7 linked regions of the Cricetulus griseus genome follow. The protein of the gene in region 4 purifies or fractionates together with the protein of the main gene of each other region. This does not show direct contact. Links are inferred from orthologs where the notes say so. Each region holds a gene or a part of one and is shown on either strand. Other genes may lie near its edges.

What was found.
Region 1: the proteins of Cdc37 (region 4) and Araf purify together in Homo sapiens (affinity purification with mass spectrometry; 7 studies listed by BioGRID and IntAct, with this or other methods). This does not show direct contact. The link is inferred for Cricetulus griseus from reciprocal best matches to the Homo sapiens genes CDC37 and ARAF.
Region 2: the proteins of Cdc37 (region 4) and Fgfr3 purify together in Homo sapiens (affinity purification with mass spectrometry; 4 studies listed by BioGRID and IntAct, with this or other methods). This does not show direct contact. The link is inferred for Cricetulus griseus from reciprocal best matches to the Homo sapiens genes CDC37 and FGFR3.
Region 3: the proteins of Cdc37 (region 4) and Stk11 purify together in Homo sapiens (affinity purification with mass spectrometry; 8 studies listed by BioGRID and IntAct, with this or other methods). This does not show direct contact. The link is inferred for Cricetulus griseus from reciprocal best matches to the Homo sapiens genes CDC37 and STK11.
Region 5: the proteins of Cdc37 (region 4) and Rps6ka1 purify together in Homo sapiens (affinity purification with mass spectrometry; 4 studies listed by BioGRID and IntAct, with this or other methods). This does not show direct contact. The link is inferred for Cricetulus griseus from reciprocal best matches to the Homo sapiens genes CDC37 and RPS6KA1.
Region 6: the proteins of Cdc37 (region 4) and Ddr1 purify together in Homo sapiens (affinity purification with mass spectrometry; 3 studies listed by BioGRID and IntAct, with this or other methods). This does not show direct contact. The link is inferred for Cricetulus griseus from reciprocal best matches to the Homo sapiens genes CDC37 and DDR1.
Region 7: the proteins of Cdc37 (region 4) and Yes1 purify together in Homo sapiens (affinity purification with mass spectrometry; 3 studies listed by BioGRID and IntAct, counting the BioPlex papers as one, with this or other methods). This does not show direct contact. The link is inferred for Cricetulus griseus from reciprocal best matches to the Homo sapiens genes CDC37 and YES1.

The regions. Positions count from the first base shown.
Region 1 is NC_048604.1:125,701,614-125,705,589, reverse strand, and holds the start of Araf (serine/threonine-protein kinase A-Raf), read right to left. Parts: upstream 2,801-3,976; 5' UTR 2,645-2,800; intron 2,330-2,644; exon of another isoform or gene 1,476-2,329; intron 1,320-1,475; 5' UTR 1,263-1,319; coding exon 1,167-1,262; exon of another isoform or gene 1,132-1,166; coding exon of another isoform or gene 1,120-1,131; intron 997-1,119; coding exon 893-996; intron 1-892. UniProt on the Homo sapiens protein: Involved in the transduction of mitogenic signals from the cell membrane to the nucleus. May also regulate the TOR signaling cascade. Phosphorylates PFKFB2.
Region 2 is NW_023276807.1:102,790,954-102,793,902, forward strand, and holds part of Fgfr3 (fibroblast growth factor receptor 3), read left to right. Parts: intron 1-259; coding exon of another isoform or gene 260-404; intron 405-866; coding exon 867-1,057; intron 1,058-1,407; coding exon 1,408-1,556; intron 1,557-1,802; coding exon 1,803-1,924; intron 1,925-2,202; coding exon 2,203-2,313; intron 2,314-2,389; coding exon 2,390-2,580; intron 2,581-2,697; coding exon 2,698-2,820; intron 2,821-2,900; coding exon 2,901-2,949.
Region 3 is NC_048598.1:100,914,974-100,918,997, reverse strand, and holds the start of Stk11 (serine/threonine-protein kinase STK11), read right to left. Parts: upstream 2,801-4,024; 5' UTR 2,773-2,800; coding exon 2,483-2,772; intron 1-2,482. UniProt on the Homo sapiens protein: Tumor suppressor serine/threonine-protein kinase that controls the activity of AMP-activated protein kinase (AMPK) family members, thereby playing a role in various processes such as cell metabolism, cell polarity, apoptosis and DNA damage response.
Region 4 is NC_048597.1:134,007,018-134,011,266, forward strand, and holds the start of Cdc37 (hsp90 co-chaperone Cdc37), read right to left. Parts: upstream 2,801-4,249; 5' UTR 2,689-2,800; coding exon 2,587-2,688; intron 1-2,586. UniProt on the Homo sapiens protein: Co-chaperone that binds to numerous kinases and promotes their interaction with the Hsp90 complex, resulting in stabilization and promotion of their activity. Inhibits HSP90AA1 ATPase activity.
Region 5 is NC_048595.1:19,392,657-19,396,940, reverse strand, and holds the start of Rps6ka1 (ribosomal protein S6 kinase alpha-1), read right to left. Parts: upstream 2,801-4,284; 5' UTR 2,675-2,800; coding exon 2,612-2,674; intron 1-2,611. UniProt on the Homo sapiens protein: Serine/threonine-protein kinase that acts downstream of ERK (MAPK1/ERK2 and MAPK3/ERK1) signaling and mediates mitogenic and stress-induced activation of the transcription factors CREB1, ETV1/ER81 and NR4A1/NUR77, regulates translation through RPS6 and EIF4B phosphorylation, and mediates cellular proliferation, survival, and differentiation by modulating mTOR signaling and repressing pro-apoptotic function of BAD and DAPK1.
Region 6 is NW_023276806.1:229,602,478-229,606,435, reverse strand, and holds the start of Ddr1 (epithelial discoidin domain-containing receptor 1), read left to right. Parts: upstream 1-1,158; 5' UTR 1,159-1,307; exon of another isoform or gene 1,308-1,405; intron 1,406-2,733; exon of another isoform or gene 2,734-2,901; intron 2,902-3,958. UniProt on the Homo sapiens protein: Tyrosine kinase that functions as a cell surface receptor for fibrillar collagen and regulates cell attachment to the extracellular matrix, remodeling of the extracellular matrix, cell migration, differentiation, survival and cell proliferation.
Region 7 is NC_048595.1:461,475,780-461,479,279, forward strand, and holds part of Yes1 (tyrosine-protein kinase Yes), read left to right. Parts: intron 1-335; coding exon 336-491; intron 492-692; coding exon 693-872; intron 873-3,500. UniProt on the Homo sapiens protein: Non-receptor protein tyrosine kinase that is involved in the regulation of cell growth and survival, apoptosis, cell-cell adhesion, cytoskeleton remodeling, and differentiation.

The sequences.
Region 1 (3,976 bases), on a different chromosome or scaffold from region 4:
TCCAAAAGTTCCTCTCAGCCCCATCCATGAACTACTCTCTGGAATGTTTACTTTTCACTCAGCTAGTCACTATTAGGCTGGAGAGATGGCTCAGCAGTAAGAGTACTTGCTGCTCTTGCAGAGGACCTGGGTTTAGTTCTAGACATTCACATGCTGGCTCACAATCTCCAGTTCTGGGGGATCTAGAACCTTCTGGCCTCCATAAGCATCAGGAACACACAGTACACACACACACACACACACACACACACACACACACACACACACAGAGTCAAAACACTCACACACAAAAAAGAAGGTAAAATTTCCCAAGAAAAAAGCCACTATTCTCACTCCCATTTTATAGATGAGGAAACAGGCTCAAGAGATGAAGTGATTTGCCTAATTGCTAGGATCACAGGTATGCCCACCATTCCCAGATTCAATCCATGATCTTTAACCATGAGATAAGAGGCAAATGAGATGAAATGTCAGAAGTATTAAGCCAGCACCTGAGAATGGGGCTGATAAGACATTGAAAGAATAGATAAAATGTAAAACATGAACTACATCCAAAAAGTTAAGGAACCAAAGAACACAGGAATAAAAGAATACCATTGAAGACCAATTCTACAGTCCATGAGGGAAATGAGAAAAGAAAGAGCTGATGAGTTCAGGAAATTGTGACAGAACAAAATAGATGAACTCTGGAAGGTGACGGAATGAGGACCTGAAGGCTGAGTAGATAATGAGTTGCAGACCTTCCAGGTCCATGAATGAAGTGAAACAAAAGATGTTACCTGGGTTACCTCAACTAGTGGAAGACTCCAAGACAGAAAAGAAGGACTAAGATGACACTGATGAACAGAGGTTTTTGGGTACCCAATGGATGGCACAGGGTTTCCATACTTACCCTTTGATGAGTCTGTAGACCACGCAGCAATCCTGATTGAGACCCCGAACCTTGAGGGCCTTGTCCAATGAATCATAGACACTCATGCCATCCCGGACAGTCACCTATGTGTGGATGTGTACACAGGTTGGGGTCTTGAGTACCTAATAAATGCCCTAGCCAATTATCCCATCCCTCTGCAGTAGCCATTCCCTGGCCCCTTGTCACCCTTCTTATCCCAGACTTACAATTGGGACCATCTGGAACACATGCCAGTTTTGTCTCAGTGACTCACCACTGTGCGTTGCTTGTTAGGCAGGTACACTTTGACAGTGCCAACTGCCCGAGATGGCTCAGCCCCACTAGCAGGAGGGCCTCGTGGTGGTTCCATGGAACCTGCTTTTGTCAAGATGGGCTGAGGTAGGACTGAACGGGTGCCATAGGGCTCCTAGGAGAGGGCAGAGGAAAAATTCCGAGGTCTAGTAATAATAGTTTGAAAGCAGAATGGCAGAGGACAAATAAAATTCCATCTCCAAGCTCCCATTGCTCCCTGCAGCCCAAATTTCATGAAATAGCCCTGATAATGCTAACACCTGGTGCTTACCCTTCTCTGCTCAGAATCTCCTATTGCTTATCTCACAGTTGAGTGCCAAGATCTCAAAATCACCTCAGTGAGGAAGCACAGTACACAAAATTCTTCTGGAGACTAATGGGGATGTCAGTATGTACTGTACTGGAGAACAAAGGCTCAAACACATAATGGGAATGAACAGGCTGCCCTGGCTTTTAATGGAGAATGAAGAGATCAGATAGTATAGTAAAAGGAGTTACAGACAGGGAACGGAAAAATGGACGATCGTCGTATCTTTATGTCGTATCTTTCCTCCATTTGGAGGAAATGGAGACTGTGCCATGATGTTAAAAGGCACTGTGAGAGCATCCCAGAGCCCTGAGCTGCAAGGCTGAGGGTAGAATTAAAGGCACTGTCAGATAGCCAATAGAGGTCACCAGACTGTGATGAATTCACAAAGTGGGTCACCAAGCACTATGCTGAAGAGAAATATAATAGGAGTCATTAGGGACTATGAAAGGCAGATGGATAATAGACTGAATTACACATTTAAGCCAAATGCAAATGGCAATAACTGCCCACCAGAAAACACTGCTAAAAGGAAAGGAAAAAGAACACAATGATATCCAGGTGAGGAAAATAGAGGTAAGGTTGGGGAAAAGGTCTCCAAAAATTCTCCCAGATAACTACTGAAGGGTCACAAATACATTACTGATGTAAACGCACTGGGGAATCTTGGAAGGAGGCTGAGGTGAATTAGGGGTAATGGGGCGGTCCTCAAACATTTTCCTAAGAGGGGTAGAATTTTTAGGATAACAAGGAATCATGGGAGAGAGCTGCATCTCCTGGATTTGGTGAGGAAATGTCAGCCACTTGGAGGGGTTTGAGTTCATCTTAGAATCTCGCACCCAAGCCCCAGACCCCAGACCCCATTTGGCCCGGTCCCGCCCTCCCGAAGGGCTTTAGGTTCTGCGCAGGCGCACTGCCACTCGCAGCGGGCGCAACCACAGCAGGCTGTCCGCGGACTCTATCCACTCCCGCGGTAGATGATGGTCTCGCCCCGGGTCAAACCACTCCTTTGGTTCCGGGCGGGGGGTGTTGAGATTCAGACAGAAACATCTTGGAGCTTAGCTTTCGGTCCGACTTCCTGCCCGGGTCCGGCGGCAGCTCCAAAACCCAAACCCTACCGGGCCTGCCCTCACCTGTCACACCGCTACCACCACCACCGCCTCCATCTTGGGCCTGTCTTCTTGTTTCCTCTTAACAGTCCGCCGCCACCGTCCCTCGGCTTCTTGTTATTGGCTCTCCAGGACTCAGCCCTCCGTTCTTATTGGAGGAAGATCACGCCCGTCAACACAGGACCAGCGGAATGTGGGTCGTGTTCCGGATTAGGAGGGGTGGCCCCAAATGGTAGTCTCTAGGGCAAATTCGCCTGTCCTGATTGGCGCTCAGGCACAGTCTGGACGACAACTGCGTGTTAAGGACTTTAACCCTAACACTGCTGCAGAATAAAAAAAGCTTGTCCTTTTTTTGGTGTGAGTGTCGGGAGGACGACTCGATTTTAATTGTGTATTTTCTGGCCATTTGGGGCTGATTTTAGGGGCTTAAGAATAAGGGCGAGAGAAAACCCTTAAATGCAATTTGGAGCCAGTGCTGTAAGCACATTTTAAAGGACGTTCGTATGTCTTAGTTTGACTATCCTTAAAATGGGGTGCAATCGGACTAAATGATGTCCAGTATTTACCAGCTTTAGGAGACTGTAGCCATAATTCTTGATAAGTAGAAGAACCGTGCTGGTGGTCTGGCTGGAGGGAGGGAGGCTTCCTTTAGGAAAATGGTTGAGGAGGAATTTGAAAGACAGGCCACAGGTGGCTAGGTGAAGAGGGGAGTGTGGATCTGGAATGCAACACTGTGGCAGCCATTTGTGGACATATTTTAGGATGAACATAGTTTTTAAATTGAACTTTCCCTGACATCAAAATAAGAATAAGAGGGACACACACACACACACACACACACACACACACACACACACACACACACACACACACACACACACGCACGTGTTCTTTTTCTTGGAACATTTCCTTTAGAAAACATATTTTCTCTGGCCATTTGAAGCTCACCAATAGAATGAACCACAAAGCCCCAAGTTAAATCCCCAGCACCCTTTAAAAAAGATTAGGTTGGTGTCTTGACAGTTTTACAACCACAGAAAATTTTCCTTAGGGGCCTTGAAACTACCTTTTTCGAATATAACAACACCCCATCTCCCTGACTGGTGGGAACTTCCTCTGTGTGTCCAGCTTAAAGTTGTTACTTGTTTGTCAGAAGTTATGAGTCTTGGTTTTCCTTTGGATAAAGTAACAGATGGCCACCCTGACTACTAGATGAATTTAGAAGGAACCCTGTATCCCAAATGGTGCTGTCACGTTTTCTTATTTCAAAACAAGTTAGCGGTTATTTTGAGAACTTGTATGTAATGGGTTGAGTCTGTTGGTTCTATAAAAGGATAAGATTTCTTTCTTTAAATT
Region 2 (2,949 bases), on a different chromosome or scaffold from region 4:
GCCCACCTGCCTGTTGCTCACCTTGGGACAGAGGACTCGCCATCGGTGGAGGGACTGGCTTCAGGCTCAGTGCCTCGGTGCAGGAGGCAGAGGGCTCTGGGCCTCTGTGGCTGTCTGTGTCAGGGCCATGGTGGTGCTGAGGTTGTGGTGGTGGCGGCGTTTTCCTTGCAGCCTGGCTGGATCATCTCCGTGTGGACTGCTGTGGTACCCAAAGGGAAGTGCTGGCGCTTGCCTATCGCACTCTGTTCTCTCTTTGTAGACAGCAGGCGCTAACACTACGGACAAGGAGCTAGAGGTTCTGTCCTTGCACAATGTCACCTTTGAGGACGCGGGGGAGTATACCTGCCTGGCAGGCAATTCTATCGGGTTTTCCCATCACTCTGCGTGGCTGGTGGTGCTGCCAGGTACTGGCTTCTGCTCACGCTGCACTGGTTCTCTTGGGGTGCTGGCTCAGGACATGCCAAAGCTGCCAGGGACTACAGGGGGCACCCTATGGCTTAGTGCTGCCCTATGAAACCCCAGCCTTGTGCTTGGTATGGGAGCATCAACCTGCCCCATCTTGGTCCTGCAAGGCCCCCCCCCCTTCATCTTCTAGTTGGGTGCCCACAGTCCTGATCTGAGGCTCTGGCATTTCCTGGGTGCCCGGGTGGCGGTATGGATGCTTCTGGCTCTGCTGGGCTTCTGTCCTGGGTCTGGCCATGCTGACTTACAGTTGTTTTTAACTATATTACCAAGGCAAGTGGGGAGCCTTGATCCCTCCATCTCTTGAGTATCTCAGGTACTTTCCCTCCCACACTGGTGCTTGTGTCCAGCCGGTGGGAAACCTGAAAAGGCTGGATGAGGCCCCCAAACTTGTGTCTTTACAGCTGAGGAGGAGCTGATGGAAGTCGATGAAGCTGGCAGCGTGTATGCAGGCATCCTCAGCTACGGGGTGGGATTCTTCCTCTTCATCCTGGTGGTGGCAGCTGTGACGCTCTGTCGCCTTCGAAGTCCCCCAAAGAAGGGCCTGGGCTCACCCACTGTGCACAAGGTCTCTCGCTTCCCGCTTAAGCGACAGGTAACAGAAAGTAGATACCAGGTTTTGAGCTCCCTGTCTGCATTGGGTTTCCTAGAGTCCCGGTAGTACCCAGGGCCTGGGGCCTCCTAGGACTCATTCCTCTGCAGTTGAGTGGGCTGATCCCTCCCTGTCTATGTTCTCCACATGGAGCCTAAATCTTGTGGTGCAAACAGTTTTTAGTAGTCTTCAGTATCCACTTTATAGAAGTCAGAGAAACCAGCCCTTTTTTTGACCCCACGCCCTGCCTCACATAGACTTAATCTTGCTATTCCTGGTAGCTATACCACCTCACCGCTTTTCCATTGCTCAGCCCACATTGTGTGGTACCAACCTGTCCCTGATGACCCAAGCAGGTATCCTTGGAGTCCAACTCCTCTATGAACTCCAACACACCCCTTGTCCGCATTGCCCGGCTGTCCTCCGGAGAAGGTCCTGTTCTGGCTAATGTTTCTGAACTTGAGCTGCCTGCTGACCCCAAGTGGGAGCTATCCAGGACCCGGTTAGTGGTGGTGAGGGACAGTATGTACTTGGTGGGGGTTCTGGGGCTGGGGACTGGAGAGTTACTAGGCAGGGACCTGTTGAAGGTGGGATGAGATGTTCCTGAGGTAGAGTGCGGGGTGAGATTTGAGGTTTACTTTTGGTCTTCATGAGCAAATGCCCATGGAGCTTCCAGGACACAGTGGCACATGACTATGAGTCCTGGGAGTTCTGGGCACACACTTACTGCCTCTGCTTCTGTGGCCAGGCTGACACTCGGTAAGCCCCTTGGAGAAGGCTGCTTTGGCCAGGTTGTCATGGCAGAAGCTATTGGCATTGACAAGGACCGAACTGCCAAGCCTGTTACGGTGGCTGTGAAGATGCTGAAAGGTGAGAAGGGAGAGAAGTAGAAGGGCATTTTATTATTATTATTATTATTATTATTATTATTATTATTATTATTGGTTTTTCGAGACAGGGTTTCTCTGTGGCTTTGGCGGCTGTCCTGGAACTAGCTCTTGTAGACGAGGCTAGTCTCCAACTCACAGAGATCCTCCTGCCTCTGCCTCCCGAGTGCTGGGATTAAAGGCGTGTGCTACCACTGCCTAATGTAGAAGGGCATTTGAGGGCTGTGGGGCCATTAACAGACAAAACCATTCCTGCTATAGATGATGCCACTGACAAGGACCTGTCGGACCTGGTGTCTGAGATGGAGATGATGAAAATGATTGGCAAACACAAGAACATCATCAACCTGCTGGGGGCCTGCACACAGGGTGGTAGGTGCAGCAGGTGGGCAGATTGGTAGAGGGGGGCTCCTGAGTCACACAGCATCTCAGCTGTGTGTATTCCCAGGGCCCCTGTATGTGCTGGTGGAGTATGCAGCCAAGGGCAACCTACGAGAGTTCCTGCGGGCACGACGGCCTCCAGGCATGGACTACTCCTTTGATGCCTGCAGGCTGCCAGAAGAACAGCTTACTTGCAAGGATCTTGTGTCTTGTGCCTACCAGGTGGCCCGGGGCATGGAATACCTGGCTTCCCAGAAGGTATGCAGAGATAGGTCCCAGACCAGGTGGGGTCTGTCTGGGTGGAAGAGTGAATATCAAACTTGCCTGAGCTGGGGAGGTGTCAGCTTAGCCCAGGTTCCTTGTATGTTTCCTCAGTGCATTCACAGAGACTTGGCTGCCAGAAACGTGCTGGTGACTGAGGATAATGTGATGAAGATTGCAGACTTTGGCCTGGCCCGTGACGTGCATAATCTAGACTACTACAAGAAGACCACAAATGTGAGCCCTGGTCTAGGGTAGTTTGGGTGTAATGCTCCACTGGTGGACACATGAGAGCCAATACCTCTCCCTCTGTCCAGGGCCGGCTACCAGTGAAGTGGATGGCACCAGAGGCCCTGTTTGACCGAG
Region 3 (4,024 bases), on a different chromosome or scaffold from region 4:
GGACCCAACACTCTCACACAGACATACACGCAGGTAAAACACCAATGCACATAAGATAAAAAAAAAAAATTATATACACAAGAAAAAAAACAAACAAGAAGCAAACACACAAAAGCATTCTCAGGTTGACCAGCTTCAGTGGAGAGCTCTTGCCAGGTTCATGCCCTAGACTGTAATGTAGCATACAGACACTAGACTGGGAGTCATGTCTTGGGCGAGAGACACACACACACACACACACACACACACACACACACACACACACACACACACGGACACACGGACACACGGACACACACACACACACACACACACACACACACACACACACACACACACACACACACACACACACACACACACACACACGGACACCGACACGCTTCCTTAACCTGTCCCTGCTGACAGGTTTCAGAAGTATGTCCATTCACAAGCAAAGGGCAGCAAGGCTCACATGAAGCCCCACAGGTAAGTCAGTGCAAGACACCCACAGCACACTGAGGAGCAGCAGGTCCCTGCGGCCTTCTCAGAAAGGGAGGCGCCACACTGCCCCATGCCTTGGCGGGCATCCACAGTTATCATATTGGAAAGAGAAAGCTTTGCACACAGACTGGGTCTGGAAGGTTCCGGACACTTCACCATGAGAGAGACAACTTGAGTGGAGTTTATTAAGTCCTGAAAACAAAGAAGCCTTTTTGACTGGGCCAGCTGTCAGCCAAGCTGCCCCTTCCAGGCTGTGACTGTGCATGTGGGTCAGAGGCAGCCCACATGCCCACAGCCTCAGGGTTCCCACTACACCAGCCACACTAGTCCTCCATCACAGACACCTGGCCTTGGGTCATGTCATCCGAAGATCTCAGGACAGGGCAGTGTGTCAGACAGTCTGGTTTTTATCTTGTGTGTATGCAGGCGTCATAGCACACACATGGAAGCTGGGTCTGCTTTCACTGTGTGGGGCCCAGGGCCTTCACCCACAGAGCTATCTTGTCAAGTCCAGTTTTCCTTATGGCTGGTCTAAAACCTGAAGCAATCTTCCTGCCTCAGTCTCTCTACCACTGAGATAATAGGTGCTACTTGCCCAGACCAACTCCAGCTCTTGAGGAACAGTCCAAACACCTTACAGCAAGCACCCTAGCCATCTAGGAGCTGGTGGCCTCCAACAGACTGTGTCCAACGTCCCTCTAAGCTCACACGTGACACCTGTCACTCCCATGCCTCCCCACTAATTCAGGTGGGGCCACTTCAGGGCCTACGAATCAATTTCTCTCACCTGAACCTGCCTGGCTCTGCAAGCCACACCCTGACTGGGCAATGTTAGGTACAGAAGGCATGAAACCTGAGATAGCTAGTGAGGGCTTTGCAGTCATGGATGGAGCTGTGGCGCCCTCAGTCACAAGCAGAAACAGTACACAGGCTTGCCATGTGCACATGGAATGCTACTGACCTCAAGCCAGAATCCAGGCAACCTGGACAGTCAGATACATTGGGCTGCCAGGGGCCATAACCCTGAAGCCAAAGGGGGCTGAAGACCTGGGAGGGGCTGCTTGCCTCAGCAGACCAGTAGACACCACCCAGATGTAAGGTTATCAGCCTAAGACACCTCCACTTTCAGAAAACAGTGATTTGGAACCAGGTTTTCCCCAGCTCAGGTCTCTAACCTCTAGCTGGTCACACCTGGAGGAACACCCCCAGGCCCCACAGAGCCAGAATAACCCAGGGCCAGTCCTATACAAGAAGCCAAACAGGTCTGAGGCTAGCCCAAGACACCAGCCTGCCCTGCTCCACCAGCTGGGTGCACACACTTGGTCCTGGGGAGCTACCCACCTCCCTGTGAGAACCACTCAAGAGCAGCGCCCAGCTGGCAAAAACAAGGAGCTCCCAGCTTTTCCTGGGACAGGACCACAAGCAAGGTCACCAGCCAGGCAGAGTCTCTGCCAGTGCTGGCCCCACAGATAAGGCCCCTTCTTGGAAGACAGTAGGTGAGGTTTCCTAAGTTCCGCCCAGCCGGACAGGCGATAGAGTTCCCAAGGCCCAGCGACACCAAGCACGCAGGACACCGCAGGGACCAGCGCCAACACTGGCTAGCTACCTCCTGCCCCTGCCTCCCGCCTCCCAGCCTGTGTTCACCATTATTTTTGGCCCCACCAGTTCCCTCTGACTCCGTAAACAAAGTAGCCACCCGCCTGGCAACGCCCGCCAAGGAAGCCAGGCCAGGCCCGCGCCAAGATCCGGCCGAAAAAAGAGGGCTGGACGTGGCCACACGACCTCCCCCCTAGGGAAGTCCTGGGGGCTGCCCTAGCACACAGTCCCTACGCGGTGACGCTTAGGGATAGTGGCAGAGAGGGGAGAGGAAAAAGAGGGAGGAAGGAAATGAGAAGGGGAGGAAGGTTAGAGGGGAGGAAAGAATAGGGCCAGGAAGTAGAGAGAAAAGAGGAAGGGCCGCCCGAAAGCTCAAGGCCGGCCCCAGGCCCTTGGCACCTACTTCTTGACGTTGGCCTCGCCATTGGGGATCCTGCGTAGCTTTTTCTTCTTGAGGATCTTGACCGCCCTGCGACACAAGGTCTCGGAGTCCAGCACCTCCTTCACCTTGCCGTACGAGCCCTCCCCGAGCAGGTCCCCCATCAGGTACTTGCCGATGAGCTTGGCGCGCTTGCGGCGCGGCTGGTAGATCACCTCGGTGGAATCGATGCGGTGGATGAAGGTGTCCATGCCCACCGAAATCAGCTCACTCTCTGGAAAAAGGCCCAGCGGCTGGGGATCCCCCACGTCCATCCTGGCCCAGTCTTTGTCCCCTTCAGGGACGCCAATTCTTTTCGAGTTCGAATCTCCCCCCCGCCCGCCCCGCCCCGCCCCGCTTCTTACAAATGTTCAAGAAGGAAAACGGAGAAAGAAAAAAAGCCTCCCCAACACTCCCGGTCCCCTCGACCGGGTCCACGTCCCCTTCGTGGGCGCCAATTCTTCACTTTTGACTTTTCCCCCTTTCTTCTAGATGTTCAATGAGGGAAAAAAAAAAAAAAGGAAAAGCAACGAACCCCGCCAACCCTCGCGTCCCCCCAATTCAGGTCCCCGGGGACGCTGCTTCCGACGGAGGCGACGGTCCGCCGTCGCGGCGCGCGGGCCGCTAGGTCATGGTCGCCACTCGGGCCCCGCGCTCAGGCGCCCAAGGCGGCAGCGCCGAGGCCGGTCCGCGCCGTCCATGTCCGGCCCGCGCCGACGCCCCGCGCGGCCCCTTAGTTCCGTGACTTCCCGGGACGCGGACTCCACCCGGACGCAGGGCACCGGGACACCCGCAGGCCGCAGGCACCGAAGTCGGGGTAGTGAATCTTCCGGAGACCGATGGGTAAAAAAACACCCCGGGCGGCGGGTCCCCCTCGCCGCCAAGCCGCCGCGCGACAGGCAGGAGGCCGGAGCGGCGAGGGGGGAATCGAACTTCAGGCAGAAAGATGCTGCCCGCGAGGGGAAACTCCAAGCCGGCGCCACCCTCCGCGGCTCGCGCCTCACTCGCGGACACCGTGAGCCGCCTCCCCTTCCCTAGACCGACACGCCGCCGCCATCTTGTTTACCGCCCTGCGCCGCGCCGTCGTCGCACGCCTCAACGGCGGACACGCCCCCTCGCGGAGCCGACGTGCGCGGCCGTTGGCTGTAGCCTTAAGTCCCGCCCCCAGACACGCCTCAATTCCCAACGCGGATTGGCCTATTTGGATCGGAGTAGGCGCTCGAGCTGACATTGGACAGCTCGGGTTCCACCTCAGAAGGCGGGACCTACGTTCTCATTGGTTGACTCAGACGCCCGTCAATGAGAATTGGAGTAAGCAAGCGACTGTAAAGGAGCGACATGAACGGCTGTGGGCGGTGGCTTCAAGCCCCGCCCCTCGGTGGGGCTCCAGAGATGGAATTGGTCAGCGCTGATGTGTGTAGGCGGGATCTTATCTCTGAATGGTCGTTACAGACGCCCGTCAGCCAGCGCGACTGACGAGCGGTAAGGTAGCTTGTAGAAGTGACCTCGGAGTTTCGGGACTCGGGT
Region 4 (4,249 bases):
GCTTGCCTGGCAGGCAGTCATCCTAGGAAACTGGAAGGAATGGGTGTGTGAATTGGGTGGAGGACAGACACTAATTTGGGGGAGACAGGGAGGACCTTCTAGGAGCTTCCAGATAAATGAGCAGGAGCTGCCCTCAGGAAGATGGGGTGCAAAATTCCTAACCAGAAAGTACCTGCCCTAAGCTTGAGAGTATAACAAACTCAGGGTCCAATGAGAGGGCTCGGTGGGTAAAGGTCTGCCACCAAGCCTGAAAACCTGAGTTTGATCCCCAGAACCCACATGGCAGGAGAAAACAGATTCCACCAAGTTATCCTCCGTGGACTACACATGTACATTTACACATACAGGAGTGTATACACAAATGAATAAAATACAATTTAAGCACAGGGTATAGCACACAGGTAGGTGGATATAGATGCTGTGATTTGGGAGAGCAGGTTAGACCCTTGTCTCTTTACTGTTGTGCTATGGATGGAGCCCAGGACCTCCTGCATGCCACACAAGAGCTCTATCACTAAACCACATCTCCAGACCACCCTTAGATCTTGGTAGTACACTACTGTCCCGTGGTCAATGCCGGGCAGAAGAGGGGTGGAAAACCATGGCTCAAACACACGGGATTCTAAGGTCTGAATCTGGGGGACTCTGTTCTGGACAGATGTAAAAAAATGTGTAGGATTTTATTTTATTTGCTTGGGTGTTGACAGGATCCCATGTGGTCCATGCCAGCCTCAAGCTTACTATGTGGCTGAAGGCTTTGAACTTCTGACTTTCCTGTTCCCATCTCCACAGTGCTGGGACTACAGGCCTGTCCCACCATGGCTAGCTTTTAAGCACTGCTGGAGACACAGTGCAAGGCAATGACACACAACTGAGCACCAGCCTATTTGGTTTTTGAGACAGTGTTTCATGTAGTTCAAGCTGGCCTAGAATTTAACATGTAGCAAGGATTGACTGAATTTCTCATCCTCCTACTTCTACCTCCCAAGACCTGAGTTTAAAGGTATGTGGCATCATGCTCAGGAAGTAAGGTGATGTTGGGATAAGATCCAGGAGATTCCCCCAGTTAAGTAGGATGATTTGAACACTGCAGAGAAGCCAAGGAGGCTGCAGGGGAAAGGGTGGGAAGGATAGAATAGGTTTGGGGTTCTGAGCTCAGGTTTGGTGAGTTTCTTTCTTTCTGTTTTTTGTTTGTTTGTTTTTCAAGTCAGGGTTTCTCTGTGTAGTCCTGGCTGTCCTGGAATTCTCTCTGTAAACAAGGCTGACCTGGAACTCACAGGCCTGCCTGTGCCTCCCTAGTGCTGGGATTAAAGGCGTGTACCACCACTGCCCGGCTCCTATTTTGGTGAGTATTCAATGATGGCCAAAGTTCATACAGGAGCCAGGGACAGGATGGGGGTCTACTTACTATAAAGGAGCAGGCAGAGGTTCTGGACGGAAGTTAAGTGGGTAGGGTTTCCTGGAATAAGGGGAAAAGCGTCTACAGGAGGCAAGAGTAAGGGAAGCCACAGGGCAGCAGTGGAGCTGGAGGCCACATGGAGAGAAGTCCTAGGTGGGACTGAAGTCCCCAGTGGGATTCTGGTCTGTACTCCAGGGAAAGGGACCCTGGGTTGTGGAATCCCAGCGGAAAGCTAAGATCGGGAAATTAAGTGTAAGACACAGTTCTCATTCAGTTTGGGAGTTGGGGGCAGGGTATCTCTGGGCCTTAATGTAAATTTGTGCTTAAGATCCTGGGAAGTAGATGCCCCAATCAAATCAAAAGTATCGTGGACCCAGACTCCAGGGGCTGAGAAGAGGCAGAAGGGAGGTGTTCAATCAGCAGTGGGCACATGGCTAGAACAAGGGAGAGCCTAACAGAATCTGAGTTCTGGACTCCGAGAAAGAATTCTGAGGAGAAAAAAAGGTTCCATACAGGATGATGGGGACCCCTACTCACAAGGGCCGGCGTTTGGAGAGTCTAGACTCTGATGAAAGTATTAGGAGTTGATAAGAAGATTCAGTGTGTATAGGAGGTGCTTGTGGCAAATTGGGGTGACCTAAGTTCCATGCCCAGTTCCAACGTGGTGAAAGGAGAGGCCTGACTTCTGTTAACTGTCCTTTAATCTACAGATACAAGCTGTGCCACGAGCACACAAGACACACCACTACAAGTAAACTAACAAACAAATGTACAAATAAAATAAAAGAGATAGCAGCGGGGAAAGCCCAGAGATGACCGTGGAGAGTTAGGAAGCCCAGTGATCCTGAAGTCCTGGGATGGAATTTAACAGTCCAGGCCACATGACGGTATACACCTTTAATCCCAGCACTGGGAAGGCAGAGGCAGGCGGATCTCTGTGAGTTAGTGGCCAGCCTGGTCTACATAGCAAGTTCCAGGCCAGGCAAGGCTATAGTGAGATCCTGGTTCGATTTTTTTTAAAAAATAAGAGAGACAGAAAGTTCAGATTGTGGAATAGGAGGCTCCCGATGTCAATAACTGAGTTTCCCCCGACCCGCCCGAACCAGGGCGGCCAGGGTAAGAGGTCAGAACTCTAGAGCGGGGGGTCCCGGGAGTGGGGGGAAGGGGATGCGCGCGCACAGCCCCACCTGGTGCCGCCAGCGGAAGAGGCTGGCCGTGTCGATGTTGGGGTGCGTCTCGTCCTCATCGTCCGACACCTCGATGTGATCCCAAACGCTGTAGTCCACCATCTTCGCCTAGGAGGCCCGGATTGGCTCCCGGCGCTCCACACGGCCGGGCGCTGAACAGGGACCCACAAGGGATAGAGAGTCCGCTCGCGGAGCCCCGCCCCTTCCGCTTCCGCTCACGGCGCCGCGCACGACGGCCCCGCCCCAGCATCCGCGCGTGACGTCACGTCCTTAGCAACGGGACTCGGCGGCACTGACGACCGGAGGTGATTCTTAAAGGGCCAGGCTCACGTTGTTCAGCCTTCTGGGAGTTCCCGCCGAAACCCAACCGAGCATCCCCTGGGGACAAAAAAGGTAGTTGCCTAGGGGTTGTCGGCCCACGGTAGTCCCAGCACTTGGAAAGCAAAGTCAGGCCACTCTCAGCGAGTTCTAGGCAGGCCTGATCGACACAGTTCCAGGCCAGCCAGGGCTCCGCAGTGAGATTCTGTCTCAAAAAAATCAAAATTGAGCCGGGCGTTGGTGGCGCACGCCTTTAATCCCAGCACTCGGGAGACAGAAGCAGGCGGATCTCTGTGAGTTTGAGGCCAGCCTGGTCTACAAGAGCGAGTGCCAGGACAGGCTCCAAAGCCACAGAGAAACTCTGTCTCGAAAAACCAAAAAGAAACGCCTTATATCCCAACACTCAGGAGGCAGAGGCAGGTCTATAAATCGAGTGCCAGGACTGTTACACAGAGAAACCCTGTATTGAAAAACAAAACAAACAGAAAAGAGTGAAATTTTGCGGTTTTTTTTAGGGGTGGGGTGGGAGTTGAGACAGGGTTTCAACAGCTGCAACAGCTCTGGCTGTTCTGTAACTAGCTCTGTAGTCCAGGCTGGCCTGGAATGAGTTGAGATCCACCTGCCTCTGCCCCCACCAGTACTGGGATTAAAGGCGAGCACCACCAGTGCCCGACAGATTTTTACTTTTCTTAAGATTTATTTACTTACTTATTGTGTTTACAACATTCTGCCTGCTTGTATGCCTGCACAGCAGAAGAGAGCACCAGATCTCATTACAGATGGTTGTGAGCCACCATGTGGTTGCTGGGAATTGAACTCAGGACCTCTGGAAGAGTAGTTAGTGTTCTTAACCTCTGAGCCATCTCTCCAGCCCCGATTTTTACTCTTAAAAAAAATTTTTTTTTTCAAGACAGGGTCTCACTATGTAGCCCTGGCTGTCCTCGAACTCACTATGTAGACTGAGCTGGCCTTGAACTCACAGATCTCCTTGCTTCTGCCTCCCAATGCTGGTATTGAAATCATGCTCCACTACACTGGGTCTGCCCTTAAAATTTATTTTTTTAAATTACATTTCAGGGGCTGAAGAGATGGCTTAGCAGTTAAGAGCATTGGCTGCTGTTCCAGATGACACAGGTTCAATTTCCAACACCCACATAGCAGTCCATAACTGTCTGTAACTCCAGCTCCAGATGTTTTATTTTATTTTTTGGTTTTTTGAGACAGGGTTTCTCTGTGGCTTTGGAGGCTGTCCTGGAACTAGCTCTTGTAGACCAGGCTGGTCTTGAACTCACAGAGATCTGCCTGCCTCTGCCTTCCTGAGTGCTGGGATTAAAGGGGTGCGCCA
Region 5 (4,284 bases), on a different chromosome or scaffold from region 4:
AGAACAGATGGAGAAAGATAGTACATGCCCCGCAGGCAGGAAGCAGCCCCAGGAACTGGGGTCTGAGCCCAGCATTGGCAGCCCTGTACACTGCTGGAGCCTGGGGGCCAAGTGCCAGGACACCGCTAGCCCTCCGCCAAGGCTGGACAAGGGCCCTGCGGACTGAGAAGTTTGTGCCAACATCCGGAGCTGCTCTTGGAGTACCTGCCACCTGTGCCAGTTTAAACCTAGCCCATGCTCATCTTTAAGTCTCCATTGCTTGGTAGGAAACAGCAAGAGCCCTGAGTTCCAATCCTGCCCCACATATTAATGCAGGTGCCAGCATTTCTAAATTCAGCTGTCCCCTCTGAAAATGGGAGTCATAATTTCTATCTTGAGAAGTTGTGAAAATTAAAGTCATATAACATCCATGGACACCAGATAGTGAAGCCTGGCAGGATAGGGCCTGGAGACCAGACTCTCTTGTTTTTGCCCAAACCAAGAAAACCCAGGCAGCATCCTCACCCACACTTCGGACTGGTTTATTCCACCTGGGCCCAGCAGCCCACTTTTTGGTGATAGCAATGGGAAGGCAGGGCAATTCAGATCCCAAACCTCTTTTGCCAAATGCCCCTGCCAGCCCCCTTACCTGCTTCCTTCCTGGCTAGAAGCTGCCCACAATGGCGCCAGTACCTGCGGGTCAGGCACATGTATCGCTTACATGCCATCTGCACTAAGAACAGCAAGGCCCTGTTCTCAAGTAAGAATGCACACCCTCACTGCCCCATGGCTCCTGTTACCCAGACAATAACACCCAGTCCACTGGCACCTCCATGGCCCGGGGGGAGGGGACACCAACAGCAGTACCCAGGGTTTTGCACCTTGTCAGGCCCAGGAAGCAGATTTAGAAGTGCATTTGTGGCAGTGAAAAGAGAAGCCCAAGAGAGCCGGAACATGGACTACGGGCCACTCAGCATTTCTGAAGTAAAACTCATTGTAAACTCCTCTCCCCATCCCAGGAAATCCGACAGTCTCCTCTCCCCAAATTCAGGTGCAACAGTGTTCAAACTAAGAAGTTTCCGGTTTAACCTGGCCCCTATGAAGCTGGCTGTGGCCTCAGGATTTCCCAAAGGGAAGCAGGAAGTGCTGCCCTGGAGGAGGCCAGGGCTACCAGATCTCTACCCTCCCTGCTAGTGTAACACTGTGAATCGCCAGGCTAAGTCCCTCCCTAACCATACCCAGCTCAGCTCGACCTTCCTCTGGAGGCCCAGGTGGCAGGGGCGTGCCCAGGCAAAGGAATACACCTCTGAGCCTTCCCGCAGGCCTTGTGCCCAGCCCTGAGGTGGGGGGGAAGGCAACAGGGGCTGCACAGGGCAGTGCTCCTCACCTACCAGGGTGAGTCAGCGAGAGAACCTCTGAGGGCTGTGTAGGGCCTGTAAAAACCCCATGGCAGGGATCCCAGAACAATTTACTCCAAATTGCGCCTTCAGGTTGGTTACCTAATCCAGCCGCGCCCACCCTCCAATAGCCAGTGTAGCCCATCCCTTTAAAGGGGCAGCATGCTCTGGGTGCCTGAAGACCTGGGGTCCCCACTGTGGATCCCTCTACCTGTGGCCCTGACAGGCAGGACCGATGGTGACTGCCCTGAGGTCCCAAACATAGGTAAGGGTTCAAGCCAGCAGAAAGATCATCTAGGTTCTGGGGTCAAGTGAGGTCTCCATCTGTCTTCTGTACCCTAACAGCTCCAGTTAAGGCAAAGTTTCACCTGCCTCCTTCCCAGTATGAGAGCAGGGCAAAGTTTTCAACTTGCTGGTTTAAGACTTGACCTTGATCCCAGGGTCACTGGACACCACCAAAAGTGGCCTCCTACATGCTCAGGGTTGGACCACAAAGCCCTGGTAGGATAGGAGCTGCTTCTGGGAGAGACTAGATGGTAGAAGCCACACTGCCCAAGGGCCCAGCCTTTTCTCCAGGAAAGGAAGAAGGAGGGAGAGAGGAAGACGGATGCGGGGTCTCTTCCCCAGAGACAATCTTCACAAGGTCTAAGGGCTCTCCCCTCTCTTCAGCATAACCTGAAGGAGGAGACCCGTGTGTCATTAGCATTAGGGCAAAGGAAACCAGGAGGTCCCCACTCCAGAGGTGGTAAAATCCCACATTCCATAACTGCCACGGTCCAGAAGGGCTACCTTCCTAAGGTCAGAAGTGGAGGAACGAAGAGAGCTCTTGAAGAGAAGATACGGGGAGAAACCAGATTCCCATGATCCTTGTCTCTAACAGAACCTCAGACATCTGACCCAAGCCTTTCCCTTCTGCAATGACTGGGGCAACTCCCACAGCTCCCAAAAGATGATAAGCGGGACGAGTCCTAGGGGTGCTTAGGGTGTCAAATCTCGAGAGCCCGTGGGGTTCCCTCTCCTGGCTACTGCAAGGAGGTACTGAGCGTCCAGCAGAACCGTGCCCTGCACACGCACACCCGGAGCACAGGGGGGTGGAGCCGGCCAGTGGGCTAGAGACCAGAGGGCACTCGCGTCCTCGCGGGGCTGCAGAGACGACGCGGGCCGCCCCGCCCCTGTGCGGATCCGCGGGCTGGCCGGCCGGCCGCCGCCGCCTGTCCCCCGCCCCTCTCACTCACCTCCGGGTCCAGCGGCACCAGCTCCATGAGCGGCCAGGGCTCCTTGAGCTGGGCGAGCGGCATCGCGCCGCCGCCGACCCGCTCGCGCTGCTCTCGGCGGCCCCGGGCTGCGCTGCCTCCGGGCCCCGGGGTCCCCGGCGCTGCACTGAGACCCCCCGCGCGCCCGCGCCCTCGCGCTCCGGCTGGGCCGTCCGCCGCCGCCGCCGCCGCGGCACTCGCACTTCGGCTCCCTCCGTCACCCGGCGCCGCCGCGCCCATTGGCTACCTGCGCGGGGGCGGGGCCTGGGCAGCCCCGCCCATCCCCACGGCGCGGCATTCCCGGCGCGGACCCCCGCCCCCAACGCGCTGGGAGTCGGCCCCGCCTTCCCTCGAGCCCCTGGCCCACTCGGGGCCCTGCCCGCCGGAGAGTCTGCGGCTTCCTTCTTCCCGGCCTGTGTGTCCCCGCGCAGACCCCGCCCGGGCCACCGTTGTCCCGTCCTCGCAGCATTTGGAATCTTAACCCAGATGTGCCTTCTCCCTCCAGCGGGAGGGGCTGCCACCCTACCAGGGATGTCCTGGGCCTGATCCAGACAGAGGCTTGGAAGGATCCGGGGCCGTGTGTCCTCAGGCTCTCCCTCCGCAAGCCTCCGCACAGCAGGGAGCCCACCTGGGGTCTCTTAAGTGATCCCCATGTCCCAGCGTCAGGACCCACAGCGCCCCCAGGGTGATTTCTCAACACGCATTTTTTCCCTCCCAGTCTGTGCCCTATCGCTTGAGGGCGCTGGTTTCAGGCCAGGTCCAGCGTCTCTTCCGCGCCAGGCCGGATGGTGGTCTGGTTTGAACTTGAAGCCCTGTGAAGAGGGCAAAGTCTAGGCCTAGTGGGGTCACGATTCCCTCAGGCAGGATTTGGCCTACGCCTAAAGAGGTCGTAGGGCCCAGGTGTGGTCTCAGGTGAGATAGCCCAACGACAAGCTGGTTAGTTTCCTAAAAGCCTCCTGCCGTGTGTGTGTGTTTGTGTGTGTGTGTGTGTGTGTATGTGTGTGTGTGTGTGTTTGTGTGTGTGTGTGTGTGTGTGTGAGTGTGTGTGTGTGTGTGTGTGTGTGTGTGTGTCTGTGAGTGTGTTTGTGTTCCCTTGCTTAGTTGGTTCTGGGTATGGGAGCCAGGCTTTGCACGCTAAGTTGCATTTGGTACCATGGACCTATACCTCCAGGTGGCTTGTGATTCTCTTGAGAACTCACCACCTCCTACTAGACACTCAGAAATAGGAAGTGATTTATCCAAAGTCACACAGGATCGGGAGTACATTCGTCTTTAGAAGGGTGTGGGATGGACTTGTGAGACGGCTCAATGGGTAAATGAGCTTGCCTGCGAGACCGATGCTGTGGGTGACTCTCAGGTCCCAGATGGTGAAGGAGAGAACCAACACCCACAAGTTGTCCTCTGACCTCCACAAACGTGCTCTGGCCCAGAGACAACTTCTCCCAATAAATTTGCATGCAATAACATTTTTAAGTGAGGTGTAATGGTGCACGACTTTAATTCTAGCATTAGGAAGGCAACAGAGCCTCTGAATTCCAGGCTGGCCAGAGCTACATAGTGATACTCTGTTTCAAAAAAAAAAAAAAAAAAAGTAAGTAAATGAATAAATAGAAATAAATTTAATTCAGGAAACTGGGGCCAGGTGATTGTGACCT
Region 6 (3,958 bases), on a different chromosome or scaffold from region 4:
TCTGGGCCTTCCATCAATCTTGTGGTTGTCTTTCCTTTCTAAGTCTGCCCCCCATCTTCTTTCTTTCTTCCTCCCTCCTTTCCTCCTCCCTTTCAAACTCCATGTCTCGGTCTCTACCCTCCCCATATCTTAGTTTCATTCCAACCTCCCCACTCTCTGTTTCCTCCATTCCAGTTGCCGTCCCAAACGTTTGCTTTCCTTCTGTGTCCGCTCCCCGCTCCATTCAATCCTTTCTCCTCCCTGTGCCTCCACCTATCACTTTGGTGCCATCTGTCTGACTCCTCTCCCTGGAGTCAGTTGTGTCTCTCCGTGACCACCAGCCTCTCTCCCCTGGTTCTCCATCCCTTCTGGGTCCCTCTCCCAGACTATCCACGGCTAATGTGTCTAATTTTTCTGTCCTAGATTTATGTTTTGGATGTCCTAGAATTATCTTCCTTTTTTTGTCATCACACTACAGGCCTCAGTTTCCCATTTGAACTATGACCAGGGTCTTTTCCAGCTCCCTACCCGTCACCCCCCCCCACACACACACACACGCACCAGAGGCGTCCCACTCTCCCCAGCTGCTGACCCAACCTACTTCCCCAGAGGCAGCTGCATCTCAGGGCAAGGACTGTGGCTAGTGTGTGTCGAGGGCAGCGAGGGTGGGCCCATCTGGTCCACCCTCCTTTCACTCCTCCTGCCCTGCTTCCCTGCAGTGGCGGGTGGTCTGCAGGCCTGTTTCTCCTGCGTGCCTCTCTTCACATCCCCCCCCCCGCCCCAGCTGTTTCCCCTCTTCCTGGGCTTGCAGGGGGAAAAAACGGTCCAGTTCTATACCCTCCAGGGTTCTAGGGTATAATGGGGGCTTCTGGAGTTGTGAGTGGTGAGAGAAAGGAGCAGGGGGCTCGGGGAGCCACAGACCGGCACACTCTCGGTTCTTGGCTCAGCTCTGTAGGCCCCTGAATGGCTGGGATTTCCCTCTCTGGCCCCTGGGAATCTGGGCTCCAAGCAGCACATTCCAGCCGGCTCCAGCTCCTTTTCTGTTGTCACTTGACTCCGCTGGGCCCCAGCCCCGTGTCCCTCCTACTTCTCCAGCCCTGGTCTGGGGCGAGGTGGGCATCACCGACTAGGAATTTTCCCTGGGAGAGTGAAAAGGGGGCAGAGGCTTCAAGACTCTGGCTTCCTCCACATCTCCCATGGACCCTTCACTAGTCAGTGCGAGTCTAGGGCGTGCAATGTCCCAACGGGGTGTGAGGAGTTGAAGCTCCGCCTGTCCGGGGCTTCCCCGGAGCATCTCTCCTGGGAGGAGGGGCTGTGTGCCGTTGCAGGTGAGGTTACTGGGAAGCCTTGGCCCCACCTCCAGGCGGACTCCACACCCCGCCCAGTCTCTGCAGGGCCCAGATTTCCTATTGCTGTCTGCAGAGGGGTAGGTAATTGCGGGCGGGTGGGGGGGGGGGTCCCTAAGGGCTCGGTGGACAGGCTGGAGGCAATTCTTCCAGTGACCATGGGGGCTATTAGCAGGTCCTTCAGCAGCTGGAGCGTCCCTGGGTTTGTAAACTGGAGACCCAGCCTGCCTTGGCTTCTCCCTAGTGGCCGCTTATCTTCCTGGTAGCTTTTTCTGTTCTTGTCTGTTTTTTCTTTACACTCTTTGGAAATGCTTTTGGGTGTGAGTTTTGAGTCAGTTGGGAGGTGCAACAGGGTGGTGAGACCGGCGAGGTTGCTGGAGACTTTACTGTGACCTGACATTGTCCGGGGACTTGGCAGGTGTGGGGGTGTGGAGAGAGGTAGGGCTGACAGGTGGTGCTGAATGGGGACAGAACACCTCCCACACAAGCTCGGCGGTCGCCCCGCCCCCCCCCCGCCTCCACCATCTCTCCCTTCCGTGGCTTAGCAGCTCTGTTCGTTGTTTTCTTACGTCCCTGGGTCTTGCGTTCCCGTCTTTTTGGGCGGCTTGTGATTTCCAGGGCGCCTCTCTATCTTTCTCCTCCACCCCCACCGCGTCCTGGCTCCATTTTGCGTCTCTCCTTGCCAGAAACCAGATTCTGCGGCTCCCACCAGGGACTGAGCTGGCTGGGAACTGAAGAAGGCTTGCCTGAGGAGGACTCCAGAGCGAGTCTGGATGGAGCAGGGAGCCCAGGGGGACCCAGAGCTGGGAGTGTGGACCTCAGGGCTCCTGAGAGAAGAGAAGGGAGCTGCAGTTGGGGAGGGGTTCTAGAGGAAGGGGACAGAAAAAAGTAGAGAATAAAAGAGTGTGGCCCGTCCTCAGGCTCGGGAGTAATCTAGGTTGGGAGCCGGGGAGCGGGCCTGTGCCAAAATGTAGCAAAGTGGGGAGGAGTGAGAGCCAAGCGGGGCTGGCTAGACAGGTGAGCCCGGTTCCCACAGGCCTAGCTCTCGCTCCCGAGCTGGGCCTGTGGGAACCCGCTGCTTCCTGCGTGCCCTGGGGCTGCTCCTCCGTGCTTCTCTCCCTCTCTCCAGGACCCGAGCCCAGAAAAGGGGGAGGAGGGAACGCGCCATCTCCTCGCGGGGCCACCGCTTGGGGGTCCTGGGAGGGCTGCAACCGGTCCCCTACTGTACCGTAGCCTCGGGGCGGCGGGGGATGGGCGTGCGGATCACCTAGGGGAGGCTGGGGTAACATGCGGGGCGGGCTCCGCGCGCTAGGAGAGAAACGAGGGGCGGCGCGGGCGTGGGGCGCGGGCGCCGGGCGGGAGGACGGGCGGGGACAGGCGCGGGGAGGCGGCGCCTGGGGCGATCCGGCCCCGCGCTGGCTCCTCTCCCCGGAACAGGCCTCCGACAGCTGCTCGCGGGAGCCGCCTCCCGACACCCGAGCCCCGCCGGCGCCTGCGCTCCCCTCCCGCGTCCCGCCGCCGAGGAGGCCCCAAGCCGGGGCCGGACGCTTGAGTCGGCCCCGGAGAGCGATGAGAGGTAGGGACGAGGTGGGGAAGCACAGGAGGCAGGGGGCGCGGGTTGGGGAGACTCAGCTCTGTGCGCCGCCTTGGGGTTTTGATTCCCCATCTGAAACAGAAAGGGCCCTGACTTTCCGAAAAAGTATCTTCTCGTAGGGAAGGATCTGTCTTTTCCTGGGTGAGGGGAGAGCCGAGCCCCCAGAGGACAGGTGCGCTTATGTAGCCCACTGAGTCATCCTATCGGTGCTCCCTGGGCCGTGCCTACGAGCATGCTCTGTTAAGCTGCCCCGCCACAGGGAGCCAGCCTGACGCCCAACCTACCAGACCAGCCACGCTCGGTGGTTGCCGGGTTGTGCCAAGAGACAAGTCACCGCCCAATGAGCAACGCTCCTAGGGTCCCCTTCTGGCCTGGAATTCCTGCCCAGCACCTTCTCCCAGCCACGCCCGGCTGGCCTGGAACTGACTGGCTGAGAAGGATGGAGGTGTGTCCAGACCCCAGTGGCACCATAGGGACAGGTCACAGTAGAATGCGTGAGAAAGTGGAGAAATGGCCTTGCCCTTCTTGCTGCTCTCCCCACCCCAGTCCCACCTGTCCCCACCTGCTCTTGGCTTCCCTCTGGCTTAGTCACCCATGTGGGTTTGGGAGGGGCAGTTCTCTGGGGATCCTGCACCCCAGGGCCTGAGTGGGATTCACATTGCCTGCCATTTAGTATTAAACAGGTGTCTAGAGGTGGCAACTCACTAAATGCTGAGATCTAGCTTTATTTGTCACCTCAGGGTGTGTGACACACACCTGTAATCACACACCTGAAAGGTGGAGGCAGCAGGATCAAGGGTTAAAGGTCAGCCTCCCTTGGCATCATAGTGAGTTTGGAGACTTGAACTAGTTGAGACCTTGTCTCAAAAAATCGGCCATCCTGCTATAGAGGAACATGATTTTCATCCCAGCACTCAAGGAGAGGCAGGTGGCACCCCATGAGTTCAAGGCTGTTCTGGTCTATATAGCTAGTTCCAGGCCCACCCAGGCTACATAGTGAGACCAACAAAAATCCCTCCAACTAACCAACCCCTCCTCC
Region 7 (3,500 bases), on a different chromosome or scaffold from region 4:
CTTTAAAAAAACAAACAAGTAATAAGCCAGGTATGGTGGCATATCCCTTTAATCCTAGAAAAAGATAAATCACTGAGTTCAAAGCCAGCTTGGTCTACATATTGAATCCCAGGCTGGTCAGGCTACCCAGTAAGATCCTGTCTCAAAAACTACCTAGCGCGCGCGTGCGTGCGTGCGTGCGTGCGTGCGTGCGTGCGTGCGTGCGTGCGTGCGTGTACATATGTGTATATAATTATTTACTTAGTATATTTTATTCACACAAGCGCTCTCGAATTGTCTTAACTGTGAAAGTAATTTATTTACAGTGTACCCTTGTACCTTGTTCATTTATCTAGAACATGCTGATGGTTTATGCCACAAGTTAACAACTGTGTGTCCAACTGTGAAACCCCAGACTCAAGGTCTAGCAAAAGACGCTTGGGAAATCCCTCGAGAATCTTTGCGACTAGAGGTTAAACTAGGTCAAGGATGCTTTGGTGAAGTGTGGATGGGTAAGAAGCATGAAGTTTGTTGTTATTTCACTTTGTTATTGTGGATCCATAAATTAAAATAGCAAAATATGATAAAATAGCTACACTGTGTATTTAATCATGTAAGATAACTTATTGTTCATTGAATTTTGGTCTAAAATCCTTTGAAATACAGATTCAGATACAGAAATATTGAAAGAGTAAAATAAATTATTTTCCTAGGAACATGGAATGGAACCACAAAAGTAGCAATCAAAACACTAAAGCCAGGTACAATGATGCCAGAAGCTTTCCTTCAAGAAGCTCAGATAATGAAAAAATTAAGACATGATAAACTTGTTCCACTGTATGCGGTTGTTTCTGAAGAACCAATTTATATTGTCACTGAGTTTATGTCAAAAGGTATGTACATAAGAATTGTCTTTTACACAGTTCTGTTGAAATTAAACAACTTCATTTCTGTTCTTTCTTAGATTAAAAGAAAACATATAATATATTTTGGTCATATTCTTTCCCAGATATCCACTCAACCTCCCAATTTTATATTCTTTCTCTTAAAAAAAAAATACAAAAAACATGAGAAAACCCCAAAATTAAATTATAAACAAAACACGAAGTCCATTTTTTGTTGGCCATTCCTGAGCACGAAGCCTTCCCTGGAGTGTGGTTGATATACCCATTGTCTCTTAGTTGGGGGGCGGGTGGGGTGGGGTGGGGGGGGAACAAACAGATTTTTCCCTTTCCCAGCAGCTATCAATTGCAAATAAGTTCTTGGTTAAGAGTTAAACTATGTGCCCAATTGCCCTTCCCTTTGTTGGGATTTTTGTCTGGTTTGAACTTGTGCATAATGTCCCAGTCTTTGTGAGTTCATATATGCATCAGACCTGATGTGTCTGGAAAATGTTGTTATTGAGGAGTCATCTACCACCTCTGGCTCTTGCATAGATCCCTGAGGCCTGATCACACTAGGGTATGATCCCATTTATATCTCAGTGTTTCAAAGTCTCTCACTTTCTGCATGTTGTCCAGTTGTGATTATCTGTGTTAATTACCATCTACTACAAGAAGTTATTTCTCTGATGAGGCGCAGTGGTAACACTTCTCTATAGGTATAACAGTATGTTGTTAAGAGTCCTTTTATTGCTTTGTTCATTTAACAGAATAATTATAGATTTTTTTCTAGAGTCCATGATTTACCTCTCAGAGGTTCTTGGCCTCATTAAGTATCAGGTATAGGTTCCATCTTATGAAGTTCAACCAGAAGATTGATGGTTACTCCCATAATATCCATGCCCCATTGCACCAGTGAGTATACCTAGTAGGCAGATTGCTGATATAGCTCAAAGAATTCACTTTTCTCCTTTAAAAATTACATTTATGTATTTTGCATACATATGTGTGTGGGTGCCGTGTGTGGAGGTCACAGGACAGCTTGAAGGAATCTGCTTTTTTCTTCTACCATTTAGGTCTTAAGGATTGAACTCAGGTTACCAGTCTTGGCAGCAGGCATCTTTACCCACTAAGTGCTCTTGTAGGCCCTCTATTTTATACAGATTGTTGCCATATAGTACTTTCTAACTTAAGATTTTTCTGTAGACTTTTGAAAAGAGGAGATATGATATTTTTTTTAATGGACTAGTGGTTATTCCCACTTATCCCACAGGGTCTAAGGAGACTTTAAAGGAAAATTAGACAGGCTGAATCTTTTCAAAGTAGGTTTAACTAAAGGAAATGGGATTGCTAGGGTAGTAGAAAAGTAGACATACTGAATCAAAGTGGTAAACTTGTACCTATAGCACTAAGGCAAAGATATTAAAGGGAATCGTTTTTTATCATTTTTATAAAATTATAATTTCACATGTCAGTCCCTTCTCCCTCTCCTCCCAACCCCCCACCAGCCCCCTCCCCCCTCCACTCCCCATAGAGGGTAGGGTCCTCCACGGGGGCTCCCCAAATTCCACATCATCCTGGGCCAGGCCTAGGCCTTCCCCCATGTGTCCAGGCTGAGAGAGCATCCCTTCACGTGGAATGGGCTCTCAAAGTCCCTTCTTACACCAGGGAAAAATACTGATCCACTACCAGAGGCCCCATAGGGTACCGAGGTCTCCTCGTTGATATCCACTTTCAGGGGTCTGGATCAGTCCCGTGATGGCCTCCCAGACAGCAGACTGGGGGCTATGTGTTTCCCCCTTGTTCAGGCCAGCTGTTTCTGTGGGATTCACCACCTGGTCCTGACCCCCTTGATCTTCATTTCTCCCTCTCTGCAACTGGGTTCCAGAGTTCAGTTCAGTGTATAGCTGTGGGTGTCTGCCTCTGCTTCCATCAGCCACTGGATGAGGGCTCTAGGATGACATATAAAGTAGTCATCAGTCTCATTATAGGGGAAGGGCATTTAGGGTAGCCTCTCCACCATTGCCTAGATTGTCAGTTGGTGTCATGCTTGTAGATCTCTGGAAATCTCCCTAGTGCCAGATCTCTCCTTGGACCTATAATGGCTCCCTCTATTATGATATCTCTCATCCTGCTCTCCTCTATTCTTCCTCCAACTCAGCCTTTCTGCTCCTCCATTTCCTCCTCTCATTCTGCCAGCTCCCTCTCCCCTACCCTCATGTTTATATAAACACAGTTCTTATACACTGGACTTCCAGAAACTGTTCTCCCCTGCTGTCAATTGAAATTTCTCATCCTTCCCAACCCAGGCACAGGTGGGCTCTTATGTAACTGCTAGTTAGAGCCAGGGGCAAAGCCAGGCAAGGTTAATGTTCTTCCCCTTTATTTCTAGGTCAATGATGCTTTAGAAGAGGAGCTAGTAAGTGATGAAATGTTGATTAGCCTGAATCTACTCATTTTTAATTGAATCTATATTAATTTTTTTTTTTTTTTTTACTTTTTGTTTTTGTTTTTTGAGACAGGGTTCTCTGTGGAGCCCTGGATGTCTTTGAACTCACTCTGTAGACCAGTCTGGCTTTAAACTCACAGATCCACTTGCCTCTACCTCCCAAGTCTGGGATTAAAGTGCTCAGCTTATTT